Linked DNA regions of Schizosaccharomyces pombe. The protein of the gene in region 1 interacts with the protein of each later gene in a biochemical or structural test. Each region holds a gene or a part of one and is shown on either strand. Other genes may lie near its edges.

Region 1 (8,093 bases):
TCGATGAGTTTTTCGAGGTATCTTGGGAACTGACCCATGAACCCCATTCAAAATTATCAGAGGTTGGATCCGGGGAAAGAGACGTTGATGAATTTTTTTTCTTCGTTTCTCTAATTTTTTCTTCAGAGTCAAGTTTAGCGATTGATGAATGTTCTTCGACTTCATCAACTTTTTTACGATCCAAACTTAGTGGTGATTTTGGAACAACTTCATCCTCTTTATTTATTGAAATTGTAGAACAACTGTTGCTTTCCCTCTCAATCAATTTGACTGGGGAAGAAAGGAAAGTATTTGCAGATAATTTGTGATCCTGTTTAACAGCAACTGTATTATTTAAAAGAGCCGTAGAAGAAGAATAATCCTTGGGAATTTCATTCGATGATAAATTAGAAAAATCAAGTATATCTGAAGGAACATTTATACTGGAAATCTTGGTCGTAGAAAAATTAGATAAAGGAGACTGTTCCGGTAACAAAATATTTTTGTCATTGATGGGCGGTGTGACAGGTGAATTGGTATAGCTTGCTGTTTTCCTTTTCTGCTTCTGATAAGCTGTTGACCAACAAAAAAGCACATTGCTTTTTCGATTTACATTAGACCGTTCTTGGTTCCATAAAGTCATATGTTCTTTAAGTAAACGACTAATGGTTCCTTGTTTTAGTTCTCCTAAACTTTTCTCATTGTATCCTAAGCGGATTAATTGTCTAAAATTGGTTTCCGAGGTAGCTGTAATACCTATATAATCTTTGGATGCCAATGAAATCCGTTTAGGAGGCTTGACAACGCCAAATGTGTAATCCAACTTTTCATTAATATCTTTCAAATTAAATGTGTCAAGATTGAGAGCATTTTCTTTCCAGACTGATGCCTCCATTGAAAAACTGACATCGTTAGTAATTGAGGGAATTGCTGAATTCGAGTTGGATATATTTTCACTACCCCATGCATTATGAGGATTAGAGGCGTTCGAAAAACTAACAGAGTTCAGCAAATCATCCATATAAATCACATTCCAGTTCTTTAAGTTGTAGATTCTCAATTTAATAATATATGAGTGGATAAAAAAAACGTAGGTGCCATCAACTTCGGGTTAAAAAGAAAACAAAAAGAGCCTTAACTATACTTCTTTTATAAAAGGAACCTTTTTAGAGTATTAGTATAAATGCTCAAGATGAGTTGAAAGCGGTTCGGCTAGGGTAAGCGACTTAAGCCACCACATCGTGTGCAACGCAAGTAGGCAACTTAAATCCGTTCAACGTATTTAGTGTGAAATTAAAAATAAAATAAACTCAATTAAATTTCCGGAAGAAGAATAAATTTTATAAGTAATCATTTTAAAATAGGACAGAGTTTTTTAACAAATTTTAAGCTAGTAAACAATTAATCTAATACTCTGGCGAAAGTTGCTAGCTTTATTAAAGAGGAATCTCATATGGACTGAAGCATCGTGCAAATTTTTGAAAATTACATTTGGTAAATTAAAACCTAGATTATTTCATCTAAATAATATGGCTTAAAGTGCGCATAAATATGGATGCTGGTTTCAAATCATTTGAATATTATGTCTTGTGCAAAAAGCTCTTTAAAAAAATTACAGAAGTGCAAATGTACCACATATTTCAAGTTAAAATGAACCCTTCTAGGACTTCTAACAATTTTAGTAAATTTTCTCACTAAATCAATTATAATCTACATGAAATGAATCTAACATCGCACTCTTTATCGTTAAAGAATGTTTCATGGTAGCCAAATATCTTTCTTTTTTTAATTTTCCTAAAATGAAATTCTAGTATGGTTGAATTTATTACCGATCTGCATTTTATCGAGTATTATTGAAAATATTTCCATTTTTTAATTGTGCGCTAAGTATATAAGTCGCGTTATTAGAAAAATTATGATGTACTCGGTTAATTGAGCTCTAAAAAAAAAACAAAGTTATTAGTGTACTTCGCTTAAATAAGAATCTTATCTTCACATTCATACACAACTCACATCACGTTACGGAACTTCCGCTCCGCTCGTTTTTTATATTAACTACCAAAGACTATAATTTCATTCCTTTAAGCCTTCAGGAATGTCCATTCCTAAACAACTACCATGCATGGTACGTGCTCTGTATGCATGGCCAGGTGAACGTGAAGGTTCGTAACATTTAAAGATGCTGTTAAGTAACGTCGCAATTATTGATGTAAAGTTTAAAAAATATATATTAATGTGTTTTCAGGTGATTTAAAATTTACAGAAGGAGATTTAATAGAATGCTTAAGCATAGGTGATGGAAAATGGTGGATTGGCAGACATATCAATACTAATACACAAGGGATATTTCCTAGCAACTTTGTTCACTGTTTAGATATTCCCACGGTACGACCTGGCAGTTCTATGTCAAGAACTAGCGCTTCTAGCTTTAGATATTCTTCTCCTCAAAAAAGCTCTATAGACACCCCAATAACTTCATCTGATCAAGGTCTAACTCCTGATCTCGTTGGAAGCTCAAATGCTTTGAATAAACCAACCCGAGAGAGTGACTCACTAAAACACCAAAAAAGTCACCCCATGCTCAATTCGCTAGGATCAAGTCTGTCACTTAAGAAAAGCGTATCTAGACCGCCATCTTCAATGTCTCGTACCAACTTAGATGTCTCTTCCAGATGGGACAATACAGCCGATAACGACTCTCAGATTGATGCCCAAGATTTAAGTAGATCTACACCTTCCCCTTTAAGAAGTGCTATGGAAAATGTTCTTCAATCGTTAAATGCAATGGGCAAAAAAAGTTTTAGTCGAGCGAATTCCCCTCTTTTAAGACTTACGAAAAGCACTACAACTAGCAAAGAAACGGACTTCATTCCTGTCCCTCCTGCACATGGGTCCACAAGTATGACTTCTCGATCCAAGCTGGATGATTCAACAGATAATTCGTCAAAACCAAGAACAAGTTTGCAACCAGGAGAATCACCTATGAAGTCTTCAAGAGATATTTCTAGAAAACCTTCCATGGCTTCATCAGTTTTATCTCCGTCTGATTATTTTCCGCAGCACAGGCGTTTTCAGAGTGCTCCCGCACCTATTCCCAGACCCGTTTCAACATTGATACCACTAACTCAAGTTCGGACCACCGCGTCGAATGTTATAAAGCCAAGACCGCAAACAACGGAGCGACCCTCAACTGCTCAATCGTTTAGAAAAGGTGGTGGATTTTTAAAAAAAACTTTCAAAAAGCTTTTGCGTCGTGGATCGTCAAAACGTAAGCCCAGTCTCCAACCAACTCCTCCGGTAAGTTATCCGGCGCACAATGTTCCTCAAAAAGGTGTTCGTCCTGCATCGCCTCATACATTAAAATCAGTAAAAGATGATTTGAAACGTACAAAGACATACACGAAAGCCGAGTTTGCGGCGAAACGGGAAGAAATCTTCAATAAGCTTTCGATGCCGGTATATGAACCATTGAAGGATCTCAGTGAATGTATTGGGAATGTTTTAGCCGACGGCGAGCCAGTGCAGTTCTCTGTAGGTACTAATATTCATAACATGAATTTTAGTGCTATTGATAAACAAATAAGGTCAATTATTCCACAACGTGTCCAGGTCAGTCCTGCTGTACTTGCAAAAAATTATTTAGCTCCAGGACAAACGACTGCGCTCGCTCAAATGAGAGCCGTCTTTATATATATTTCTGAACGTATTACGTTCACTAATCAAACTTTGGACAATGATGAATTACGCACAAGTACACAAGTAATTTCCGAAGGACAGGGAACTCCTTTTGAAGTTGCACTGTTGGTTAAAGAAATGTTGCAAGCACTAGATTTATGGTGTGAGGTTATCGAAGGATATCTTAAATCACCAGATGACATCTATTATACCAGAGATATTAATATAAATCATGCTTGGAATGTTGTTACATTTGACAATGAGGTTCGTCTAATTGATGCTAGTTTTGCCAGTCCAACACACCCACAGCAGGCCTTGAAATCCAGCAGCTCCAATGATTTTTATTTTTTAATGAAACCAAACGAGTGTATATTTACTCACGTACCTGAGAATCCGGACCAGCAGTTTATAATGCCAGATTTGTCTATGCCTATAGTAATGGCATTACCTTGGGTATCGTCTGTGTATTTTACTTTAGGATTGAAGTTGCGTAAATTCAATACCAGTATTCTACATTTAAATGACCTTGAAGTTTTACAAATCGAATTTTTAGCTCCAAAGGATATTGAATGCGTTGCTGAAGTTGATGCTCTATCTGCTTTAGCACCTACTGCTGATGTTTCACAGTGTTATAAATACACGTTAACACAGGCTTTCTGGGAAACTCCGGATATTCGTGTTATGAGAGTTAAAGCTGTTATGCCTGCTAATAATCGTGCTGCGGTGCTAAGGATATACGCTGGTCGCTTAGGAGTCTCTAGTCCCGTGAGGACTGCACCTCATCCTATGGCAATGTCTCTTCCATTTGTACATCATGGCAAAAATAAAGCTCTAGAGTTTGTGACTCGTCATCCTGTACCACATTGTCCATCGGTTGATTTGTATATTAATTCCCCCCAATGTGGTACATTGCATTCTGGTGTTGAATACAAATTTAATGTTTCGGCCTATGCCTGCCAGCCATCTACCTCCATTAGCAATACCAGATTAGCAATACAGACCCCGACGGGAAACATTGTGCGTTTAAGAGAAGAACGATCTGGAAATGGCGTTATTTTTTTCAGCCTTTCCTTAACAATTAATGAAACAGGAGAATACAGAGCTTTAATTTTGGCTGAAAAGATAGGAAGATGGGTAGTCTATGCAACCTGGCAGGCGGTTTAAATAATTTCAAATCTTGCGACTTTATCCTATAAATTTTCCTATAAATAATGTCTGTTCTGTGTAATATTGAAGGTTGATGTTTACAACTAAGTCATTATTCATTTAATGTTTTTAATATATATCTATTACTATTGGAATCGTGATGTCCAAGCTTAACTGTATTCCCTTTGTTTCTTAATTTTAATGATTATAATAATGAGAAAGTTTTAACTATTAGATATGGCATCAGAAAAGCTAACAGTATCTTACAAAAAAAATTTTTTTATTAAAATCTTGCAAAAAATGAGAATTGTACTACGAATTCAAAAGGTCACTGACCATACTTTGATTGCAGCATCACTTCCAGTACTTAAAAGCTCATTTTCAGAAACCCATTCAACTTGGGTAGCTCCCAATGAGTGAGCATTTTTCATCGCAATATATTTCATGGGTCGTTCTACTGAATAAATGTGAATGTTGGTGTCTAATGAAGCGGTCGCTAAATGAGTAGATTTTGCATTCCACGACATTCCTAGAATACGGCCAGTGTGAAACGCCCAGCGAGAAGTAATAACTTCCCGAGAATTGGCGTCATAAAGTACAACCTTCCCTGAGGCATCACCACATGCAAGATACTTTCCATCCGGAGAGTAAGCTAAGCATGTAATCGGTGCTGTTGAATCTTTGCATTGAGCTACTTCACAAAGCTCACCTTTTTCAAGGGTATGGATGTATACACAACAGTCCTAAAAAAGTCAATAATTATATGGAAATTAAAATATGGTATCATACCTCCCCTCCAACGCAAAATTCACTTTTTAAGGGATGCGAAGCAACTGCGCTAGGCTGATAAATAGTCTTGGCTGTAGAAACACCAGTAAGACTACGGAGGACTTGGATATCCGAAACCGTTACCAAAATCAAACAGTCTTCAACCGAGCATACGCCAATAGGTTGGTAGCCAGTTGGAAAAACATTATCTTTCGCGAAACACCCTTGCTTGATATCGATTACCCTTAACGTGTCATCCATGCCAATGGTGATAACATGGTCATCAGCCATTATCATTTGCATGACTTGATTGGTATGACTTTCACCAACCAAAGGGAATGCTTTCTGTTTGCCGATATCCCATGAAAGAACAGTACCATCATATGAGGCAGTATAAAAATGGGTAGCATCAGGTGAAAGTGTAGCGGCAGTGATAGAGCGTTGGTGTCCGTAAATTGTATCAATTACCTTACAGTCCGAAGGATTTAGATATGTTAAGTTTCCCTTTGAGTTAACAACTATTATTAGGTCTTTAGTTGGCCAAACTGTTCCAACTAATTGCTTCTTGTCCGACGAAAGCCATTCGCGAATTAGGGAGCCGGTATTAGCATCCCATATTTTGCAACTGTAACCCGCAGAAGATGTGACAAATTGAGATGAATCTGGAGACCAAGAAATAGAGAAAATGGACCCCTTATGAGCATCAATTTCATAGACCTGATCTCCTGTTTTCCCGTCGAAAACATAAACCTTACCGTCGGCTCCAGCTGAAGCAAATCTTTCATCGTTAGGAGAGTAACGGACATCATAAACGAATTTGGAGTGAACGCGTAAACTTCGGTTGAATCTATAAGGAGTACCGTGAAAAAAATTGATGGAATTATCATCAGATGCAGTAGCAGCACGGAACGGTCTACTCTTGCGCAAAGAAACAGCATTCACTACGCTCGAATGTCCAAAAATCTGTAACCGTTAACATTTTAAGGAAGTTGGAGACTAATAAAACCCTTACTTCACCAACAGAATTACCAGAGTCAGCGGTGAACGCGTGTCCATATCTGTTAAAAGTAAGATTAGCAAGAGTCAACAAATATTGGAATTTTTGAAATTATGAGTAAATCCAATAATTTAACACATCCTTCGAAAACAATAGAAATCACTTACCGCTCTTTACCCTCACCAACAGCTATTATTCTCTGACTGTCTCCGTCTTTTCATCAATTAGCATATTGAAACTTGAACAGGCTTACCCCAGTCTAAATCAGTAATTCGTCCGCTAATAGCAGTAACTTGGTTCTTTAAAATTTTATCTTCTCCAGCACAATCCCATATGCGGACGTTACCTTGATTGTCTATAGTTGATCATTAGTAACGTTTAAAAATAAAAACTTAAGAAATAATAGCAATAATTAGCATTCGTACCGCCAGAAGCTACATAATATCCAGAAGGGCTAAATCGTGCTACAGTTGTAGGAGCAGTATGCTCATTATATTGAAAGCAGTTTTCCTGTTTCTCAATTTCACGAATTATTATCGCTTTGTTAGCCTAAAAACTATTTAGTAAATGTTCTTTAATCGACCAATTCATACGGATTCGACAAACTTACGGGATAAACAATCCTTTCACCTTTAAAATCAGTGCCAATTTTACAAGGCTGTGAAGGTTTTGTTGAAGGAACTGGCGCCCAAGTTGATTTTAACTGAGAAGACATTGCTCTGTTTTTAATTTATTGTAAGTAGCGAAGATGTGGTTCTATGCAGATGGAGCGTGCTACTAGGAGATATTTGACAATGAAACGAGCAACAGATTACCATATTAAAGAGGCGTATACTTTAGCAGTACATGTCATTGGAATATATGATTTATATAGGGATTAATTTTAATACTACCGTAGAAATCACTTTTTGCAACAATACACAGAAGAACGTTTTTATACTAATGCGGTCAAATAATAACCTAAAACAGTACAATATGACTTTAACGAACATGAATATCAAAATGAAAATTGATGAGTAATTAAAGAAGTAGATATCATGAAAAAAATTTAAGCAAAATTAAAATATCAGTTACTTTGCTTCTTTGAATTTTTCTTACTACGGTTAAGTTCCTTGAGCTTTTTATAATGAGAATTAGGTCGAATGGTTGAAGCTGAAGTAGTAGCAACAGCTCGTCTTGATACATCCTTCTGCAATTGCTCATACTGAGTTTTAAAACCGTCACGAACTCCTTTGTAAAACTCTTTTAAGGATTTAATAGGGTTTGTAATCAAAGTAAAGCCTGAAGGTTGCTTTTCTATTATTGATGGTAGCGGAGCGAAGCCAAGTTTACTTCGAACAACGGGATTTTTTAGAATATAACCTTGCACTATATTAAACAGACTGCTGGGTATCCAATACATAAATATTGCCTATTTGATCTTTGGTTAGTTATTCTTCTAAGATAAAGGCTTAAAACAGATTTGACTATTTTGAAAATTCACGTACGGCTGGAAGTTTAGCAGTTAAGAGAGGGCTTAAAAGACAGC
Region 2 (6,516 bases), on another chromosome or scaffold:
TAAATCTTTCACTTGGGAACTGTGAAGTAGAAGAAATATCGTTCAAACGCTCCAAAGCATTAGTCAACGCAAAATGCAAAGAGTCCATCTTCTGGCGTTGAGATTCTACTAGATTAAAAAGCTTTGCCAAATCAGCCTTTATTGCGTTCAAACCTTCAGTGTCAATAACTGTTTGAGGACTAGTATTGTCACCGACGCTTTGCTTTGTATTGGAGGTAGGATTCAAATTTTCATTATTAGATGTATCTGGAGGAAGTATATTGAGGTTCGATAAAGCCACCAAGTCTTTTGCAGACGTAGATTGAGAGGAAACTCCAAAATAATACCCCTGAGGCAAAATGACATCTTTTACTTGAAAGCAGGGCTTGTCATTCACAAATAACTCTAATCCAGATTGGTCACCGTATTTGAGAATAATATTGTTCAAAGCCTCAGGAGAGCTCTCAATGGTACATTTAGCAAAGGGCGGAAGATCGGGGTCAGTAAACTGAGCAAGTTCAAAACTTTTATCATTCAAATAGCCACGAACAAAGATTTTACCAGTTTGATCGATTTCCTGGGAAATCAGAAGGCCGTCCCACTTATCGGAGGCGCCAAAAACTGGACCTTCTGAACCGACAGCGCTTGTATACCAAATCGCAAAAAAGGTGTTTTCGTTCTCTGATACATGAGCTACAAATGAAGTCGATAGCTGCCAGCCAACTTGTCGTAAAACGCTAGTTGACCAAAGGGATCCAGAGCGTGCTTCATTACTGTCTTTGCTGGTTAAGTAAACGTAACCTGAATCTTCATCCACACTACCGTACCATTTCCATTCAACGGGAATGGCGTTACTTAGTGAATGAAGTTGCAAAAACTGAGATTTAGGGACGGCGTAAGCCAATGTACAACAAAACGATAATACATGAAACAGGGAGCAAAACTTCATTTTTCTTTACTTCGTTTAAAAATAGATAAATGAATATTGTGAAAGTATGCCAAAAAAAAGAGAGAGAAACAGAAATTGAAAGAAAGGATTATTTGGTTAAGACCAGGGACTTTTTGCTCTATTACTTATAGAAAAAGATTACTCCAGTCCTTAAATCCTTTAGTTACCGGGAACCAAAGTAAATAGATGTATTTTTGGTTTATTAGTTACCGTCAGAAAGTTTATCTACAAAATTCCGTAAATGTGAAATGACAACAACCGCCAACTCAATCGTAGTAAATAAGGATGATATTTCGAAAGTCACCTAACGAGTAATGTTAGACTTCCCTATATTTAAACATGGCAGCTTTCTGAGCAACTATGGATGTTGCAGTAAAATTGTATATGAATTGGTTTAATTGCTCGAAAGCATTGTTTGTGTGCAATGCAACTTTTCAATGCGAAGTGTATTTAATGATTATAACAAGCAATAAATGTAGTAAAAAAGACCATTTCTCTACTCCACATCAGAGACAGAAACCAGTTTTTGTTTTTTTTTAAATTGTGACTAAAAAAACAAAAAAACAATCAATGAATTAAGAGTACCGTCATGGTCGATGACTAATTTTAGTCGTTAAGAAAATTAATTGATTGTTCCATCGAAATAAATTTCATAAGCTTAAGAGACATGAAAAATACTTAAAACAAAACTCTAGAGTAACTTTAATATTTCGTTAATTTAAAAAGTTTTGACTTGGCACGATAATTCAGATGTATGAATAATGTAAAAACACACGCGTATTTGTTCATTTATGAGGAAACTGTGATGGTGATTTATTCATTGTATTTTTGAATACGCATATATTTAAAAGATTTAAGTATACAATTTCAATTGAGTCGTTTGCTGCATACTAAATCCATTTTTAGATACCATGTTTTTCTCATAACCATAAAGGAGCATGCTTGCGCCTCGGTATATAGCAGTCGTGATCTTTTAAAAGGGTGTGTGGGAAAGGAAAATACAAGTCGATAAATACATGAAATAGATTAAAAAAATAAAAGTTTAAGAAAATAGTAACTGGTAGGCTATTTTGAAGTCTTATCTCTATATAAATCGATACTAAACGTAATGAATGCTTTAGCATGGTGCATTCATCCATGACATCTCCACTGCTGCTTTAACCATTCCGTACAACAACAAAGCCAGTGCATTTGGGTTAGGGAATCCTTCCTTTACAGTTTCTGGCTTCATTTCCTTTTTTTGTAATAATTTAATTGAAAGGAAAGAATTGAAGAGATATTGAATGCCTTAGGGGACGTAGCATAGATTTGCAGTGGTTGTTAGACAGGAAACAAATTGCGGGAAAATCTCAAAGTCGTTTGACTTTCTGTTGCTCAATAAAAGAAACAGGAGACCTGTTTATACTAGAATTTCTCAAACAAGAGTTTTTACGACCGAAAATTATCGAAACAACTATATTTTTTGGTCGTTTATCTTGTTCATCGAAAAAGCTAAGCCGGTTTACCTGTTCTTCTTCCATCTTCCTGCTGCTCTAATAATCTCATTTGTTATCTTTTCAAGCTTTGCTTATTTGTTTTGATTGTAGAAACGGCTTTATCGGCTTGTGAGCATCCTTCTTTTCACAAACAATATTGATTGACTACTAATCCGTTTCTAAGCCACGAGCATTCTTGTAACTAGATCGCTTTGCTTATTTGTTTTCATCTCGTACAAGAATTTCTTCGTCCCTTTATTGTTTTCTTTTTAATTTTTCGGATTTCACGCTTTTTCGTAATATTTGTCATCTTAGGTTCGCAAGGAAACTGGTGCCACGATTTACGATAACAAAGTATTTTTTGTCAACCAAGATTTACACGTTTGTATTATTTTCACAAAGTTATTATTTTATTACATTACTCAGTCGGCTTATTTTGAGTTGATTGCTAATTTTTGCCTCTCAAAAGTTCAAGCAGTAATTTTATATCTGCTTTTTTGTCTGTTGATCCCATTTCCTGATGGAGTACCGTACCAATAACGTACCCGTCGGTAATGAGACAAAGTCTGCCGCTTTAAATGCGTTGCCGAAAATTAAAATATCTGACTCGCCCAACCGTCATCACAACCTGGTGGATGCTTTTATGCAATCTCCTTCTTATTCTACACAACCAAAATCCGCTGTAGAGCCTCTGGGTTTATCTTTTTCTCCTGGGTATATTTCTCCTTCTTCTCAGTCTCCACATCATGGCCCCGTAAGGTCTCCATCAAGTCGAAAACCGCTACCAGCATCTCCTTCTCGTACGCGGGATCATAGCCTGCGAGTACCTGTATCTGGGCATTCTTATAGCGCTGACGAGAAGCCTCGTGAAAGAAGAAAAGTCATAGGCAATTATGTACTAGGTAAAACCATTGGGGCTGGTAGCATGGGGAAAGTTAAAGTTGCGCATCATTTAAAAACAGGTGAACAGTTTGCCATTAAAATAGTTACCCGTCTTCATCCAGACATAACGAAGGCAAAAGCTGCTGCTTCTGCTGAGGCTACTAAGGCAGCACAATCAGAAAAAAACAAGGAAATTCGTACTGTTCGCGAAGCTGCCTTATCTACTTTGCTCCGTCATCCGTATATTTGCGAGGCAAGAGATGTTTATATTACTAATAGTCATTATTATATGGTCTTTGAATTTGTCGACGGTGGTCAAATGCTGGATTATATTATTTCACATGGAAAATTAAAAGAAAAGCAAGCTCGAAAATTTGTGCGTCAAATTGGAAGTGCGCTGAGTTATTTGCATCAAAACTCTGTGGTGCACAGAGATCTAAAAATTGAAAATATTTTAATTTCGAAGACCGGTGACATCAAAATTATCGATTTTGGTCTTTCAAATTTGTATCGACGTCAGTCTCGCTTGCGCACGTTTTGTGGTTCATTATATTTTGCTGCTCCAGAACTTTTGAATGCTCAACCGTACATTGGTCCAGAGGTAGACGTTTGGAGTTTTGGAATAGTACTTTACGTTCTTGTTTGCGGAAAAGTGCCATTTGATGATCAAAATATGTCTGCCTTGCATGCGAAAATAAAAAAAGGTACCGTCGAGTATCCAAGTTATTTAAGTAGTGATTGTAAAGGTTTACTATCAAGAATGTTGGTTACTGATCCTCTCAAGCGAGCCACGCTTGAAGAAGTTTTGAACCATCCTTGGATGATTCGCAATTATGAAGGACCTCCAGCTTCGTTTGCTCCGGAAAGATCTCCGATCACTCTTCCATTAGATCCTGAAATTATTAGGGAAATGAACGGTTTTGATTTTGGACCACCAGAAAAAATTGTTCGTGAATTAACTAAGGTAATTAGCAGTGAAGCTTATCAATCTTTAGCTAAAACTGGATTTTATTCCGGGCCTAATTCAGCTGACAAGAAAAAGTCTTTCTTTGAATTCCGGATTAGGCATGCTGCGCATGATATCGAGAATCCAATATTACCATCTCTTTCAATGAACACTGATATTTATGATGCGTTTCATCCTCTCATTTCAATTTATTATTTAGTTTCTGAACGTCGTGTATATGAAAAAGGTGGAAATTGGAATAGGATAGCAAAAACACCAGTTTCTAGCGTTCCTTCTTCGCCAGTTCAGCCAACTAGTTATAATCGTACTTTACCGCCAATGCCGGAAGTTGTTGCCTACAAAGGCGACGAAGAATCACCTCGTGTTTCTCGAAACACATCACTTGCACGCAGAAAGCCTTTGCCTGATACGGAATCTCACTCCCCTTCTCCTTCAGCAACCTCCTCCATCAAAAAGAATCCATCCAGCATTTTTAGAAGGTTTTCATCACGCCGAAAACAAAATAAGTCTTCTACATCTACTCTTCAAATTAGTGCTCCCCTTGAGACCTCACAATCTCCACCAACACCTCGAACCAAGCCGTCTCACAAGCCCCCAGTATCTTACAAGAATAAACTTGTTACCCAATCTGCTATTGGAAGATCAACCTCTGTTCGTGAGGGCCGCTATGCTGGTATCTCCAGTCAGATGGATTCACTAAACATGGATTCAACAGGGCCCTCTGCATCCAATATGGCAAATGCACCTCCGTCGGTTCGTAATAATCGTGTACTTAATCCTCGTGGTGCTTCCTTGGGGCATGGGCGGATGTCAACTTCTACGACCAACCGCCAAAAGCAAATCCTTAATGAAACGATGGGCAATCCGGTGGACAAGAACTCTACTTCCCCATCCAAATCTACGGATAAATTGGATCCTATAAAGCCTGTTTTCCTTAAAGGCTTGTTCAGTGTTTCCACTACATCGACTAAAAGTACTGAGTCAATTCAACGAGATCTTATTCGGGTAATGGGCATGCTTGATATTGAGTATAAAGAGATCAAGGGTGGTTATGCATGTCTATATAAACCTCAGGGTATCCGAACCCCTACAAAATCGACTTCTGTTCATACACGACGTAAGCCTTCTTATGGCTCTAATTCTACCACTGATTCTTATGGATCGGTGCCGGACACAGTCCCATTAGATGACAATGGTGAGTCGCCTGCCTCTAACCTTGCCTTTGAAATATATATTGTGAAAGTCCCTATACTCTCTCTTCGTGGCGTTTCTTTTCATCGAATTAGTGGAAACTCATGGCAATATAAGACATTGGCTAGTCGTATTCTTAACGAATTAAAATTGTGATTGACTATTAAAGCTGCATACTTTTTTGAAATTATTTATTTCACTTCATTTTACGTTATGACCACCTAATTAGTGTTTATGGTTTTTAATACTAAGACCGCTTCAGGTTGAACTATATTAGACGTTGAGCTTTTTTAGAGACGAGAAACTAGACCTCTAATGCTCTTGCCTGTGAAAGCAAACAGATGCCAGAGGCATGTAAAGTCAACGTGTAAATGCACCCTCGTTCGCTTATGTTTAAGCCAGATACATAAGGCTACTATAATTAATGATATATCTTATAGTAATTCGTTCACTTATATAGTCTAATACGACGTTTTTGTTGATACTTATCTAGCAGTAATATTATTATTAACCCATAACTATAAAATACCAAAAAACCATTGTATAAAAACCTAAATGAAAACCCGTGCTATATGAAAAGTAGCTAAGTAAAAACCCTTTTTTACTTCTTCCTTTTTTGCAGAACTTCCAAAGCACTAATTGAGTCCATTCCGATAATATTATCATGAACTTCTTCGTTGGCTAATTTTTCAGCCATATTTACAAGACCGCTCGTCAAGTATCTACCAGAAAATCCTGTTCTTATTTTTTCGTGTAATAAGGGAGCAAGCTCTGAGCGAAGATGCGCTATCTGTTTCTTATTCTTACTAGATTCAGATTTTTTTGGCAAATCCGGATCCTCATCATCAGAACTTTCAACTCCCAATTCCTGAGCCATCGATTTTAACCAAGCTTCCTCACGTCCCACTCTTCCGTCTTTTCTAGTGAGATTTACAATTTTATGTGCTAAGACGACCCTCGTTTTTAAAATGTCCAATATTGACATATCCACAGGAAAATTAATAAAGGTCTCGATTTTCTTTTTCAACCGATAACATAGTCGTTTCAGCTGTGACAGTTCTTTAGGACCACAC

What was found.
Region 2: of the proteins of cyk3 (region 1) and kin1, one has a biochemical effect on the other in vitro, tested with the Schizosaccharomyces pombe proteins (one study listed by BioGRID).

The regions. Positions count from the first base shown.
Region 1 is NC_003424.3:1,976,089-1,984,181, reverse strand, and holds cyk3 (cytokinesis protein Cyk3), read left to right. Parts: upstream 1-2,032; 5' UTR 2,033-2,074; coding exon 2,075-2,141; exon of another isoform or gene 2,142-2,224; coding exon 2,225-4,818; 3' UTR 4,819-5,120; coding exon of another isoform or gene 5,121-5,543; 3' UTR 5,544-5,589; coding exon of another isoform or gene 5,590-6,531; 3' UTR 6,532-6,580; coding exon of another isoform or gene 6,581-6,626; 3' UTR 6,627-6,732; coding exon of another isoform or gene 6,733-6,778; 3' UTR 6,779-6,818; coding exon of another isoform or gene 6,819-6,920; 3' UTR 6,921-6,990; coding exon of another isoform or gene 6,991-7,114; 3' UTR 7,115-7,175; coding exon of another isoform or gene 7,176-7,280; 3' UTR 7,281-7,428; downstream 7,429-8,093. Other genes in the region: SPOM_SPAC9G1.07 (Schizosaccharomyces specific protein), read right to left, coding at 1-1,000; actin cortical patch component Aip1, read right to left, coding at 5,121-5,543, 5,590-6,531, 6,581-6,626, 6,733-6,778, 6,819-6,920, 6,991-7,114, 7,176-7,280; translocase Oxa101, read right to left, coding at 7,632-7,976, 8,053-8,093. UniProt on the Schizosaccharomyces pombe protein: Involved in cytokinesis.
Region 2 is NC_003423.3:2,692,245-2,698,760, forward strand, and holds kin1 (MARK/PAR-1 kinase Kin1), read left to right. Parts: upstream 1-2,087; 5' UTR 2,088-2,923; coding exon 2,924-5,599; 3' UTR 5,600-5,884; downstream 5,885-6,516. Other genes in the region: emp46 (lectin family glycoprotein receptor), read right to left, coding at 1-928; ATP-dependent RNA helicase Mak5, read right to left, coding at 6,045-6,516. UniProt on the Schizosaccharomyces pombe protein: Has a role in establishing the characteristic rod cell shape. Important for cell polarity and is involved in directing growth to the cell ends.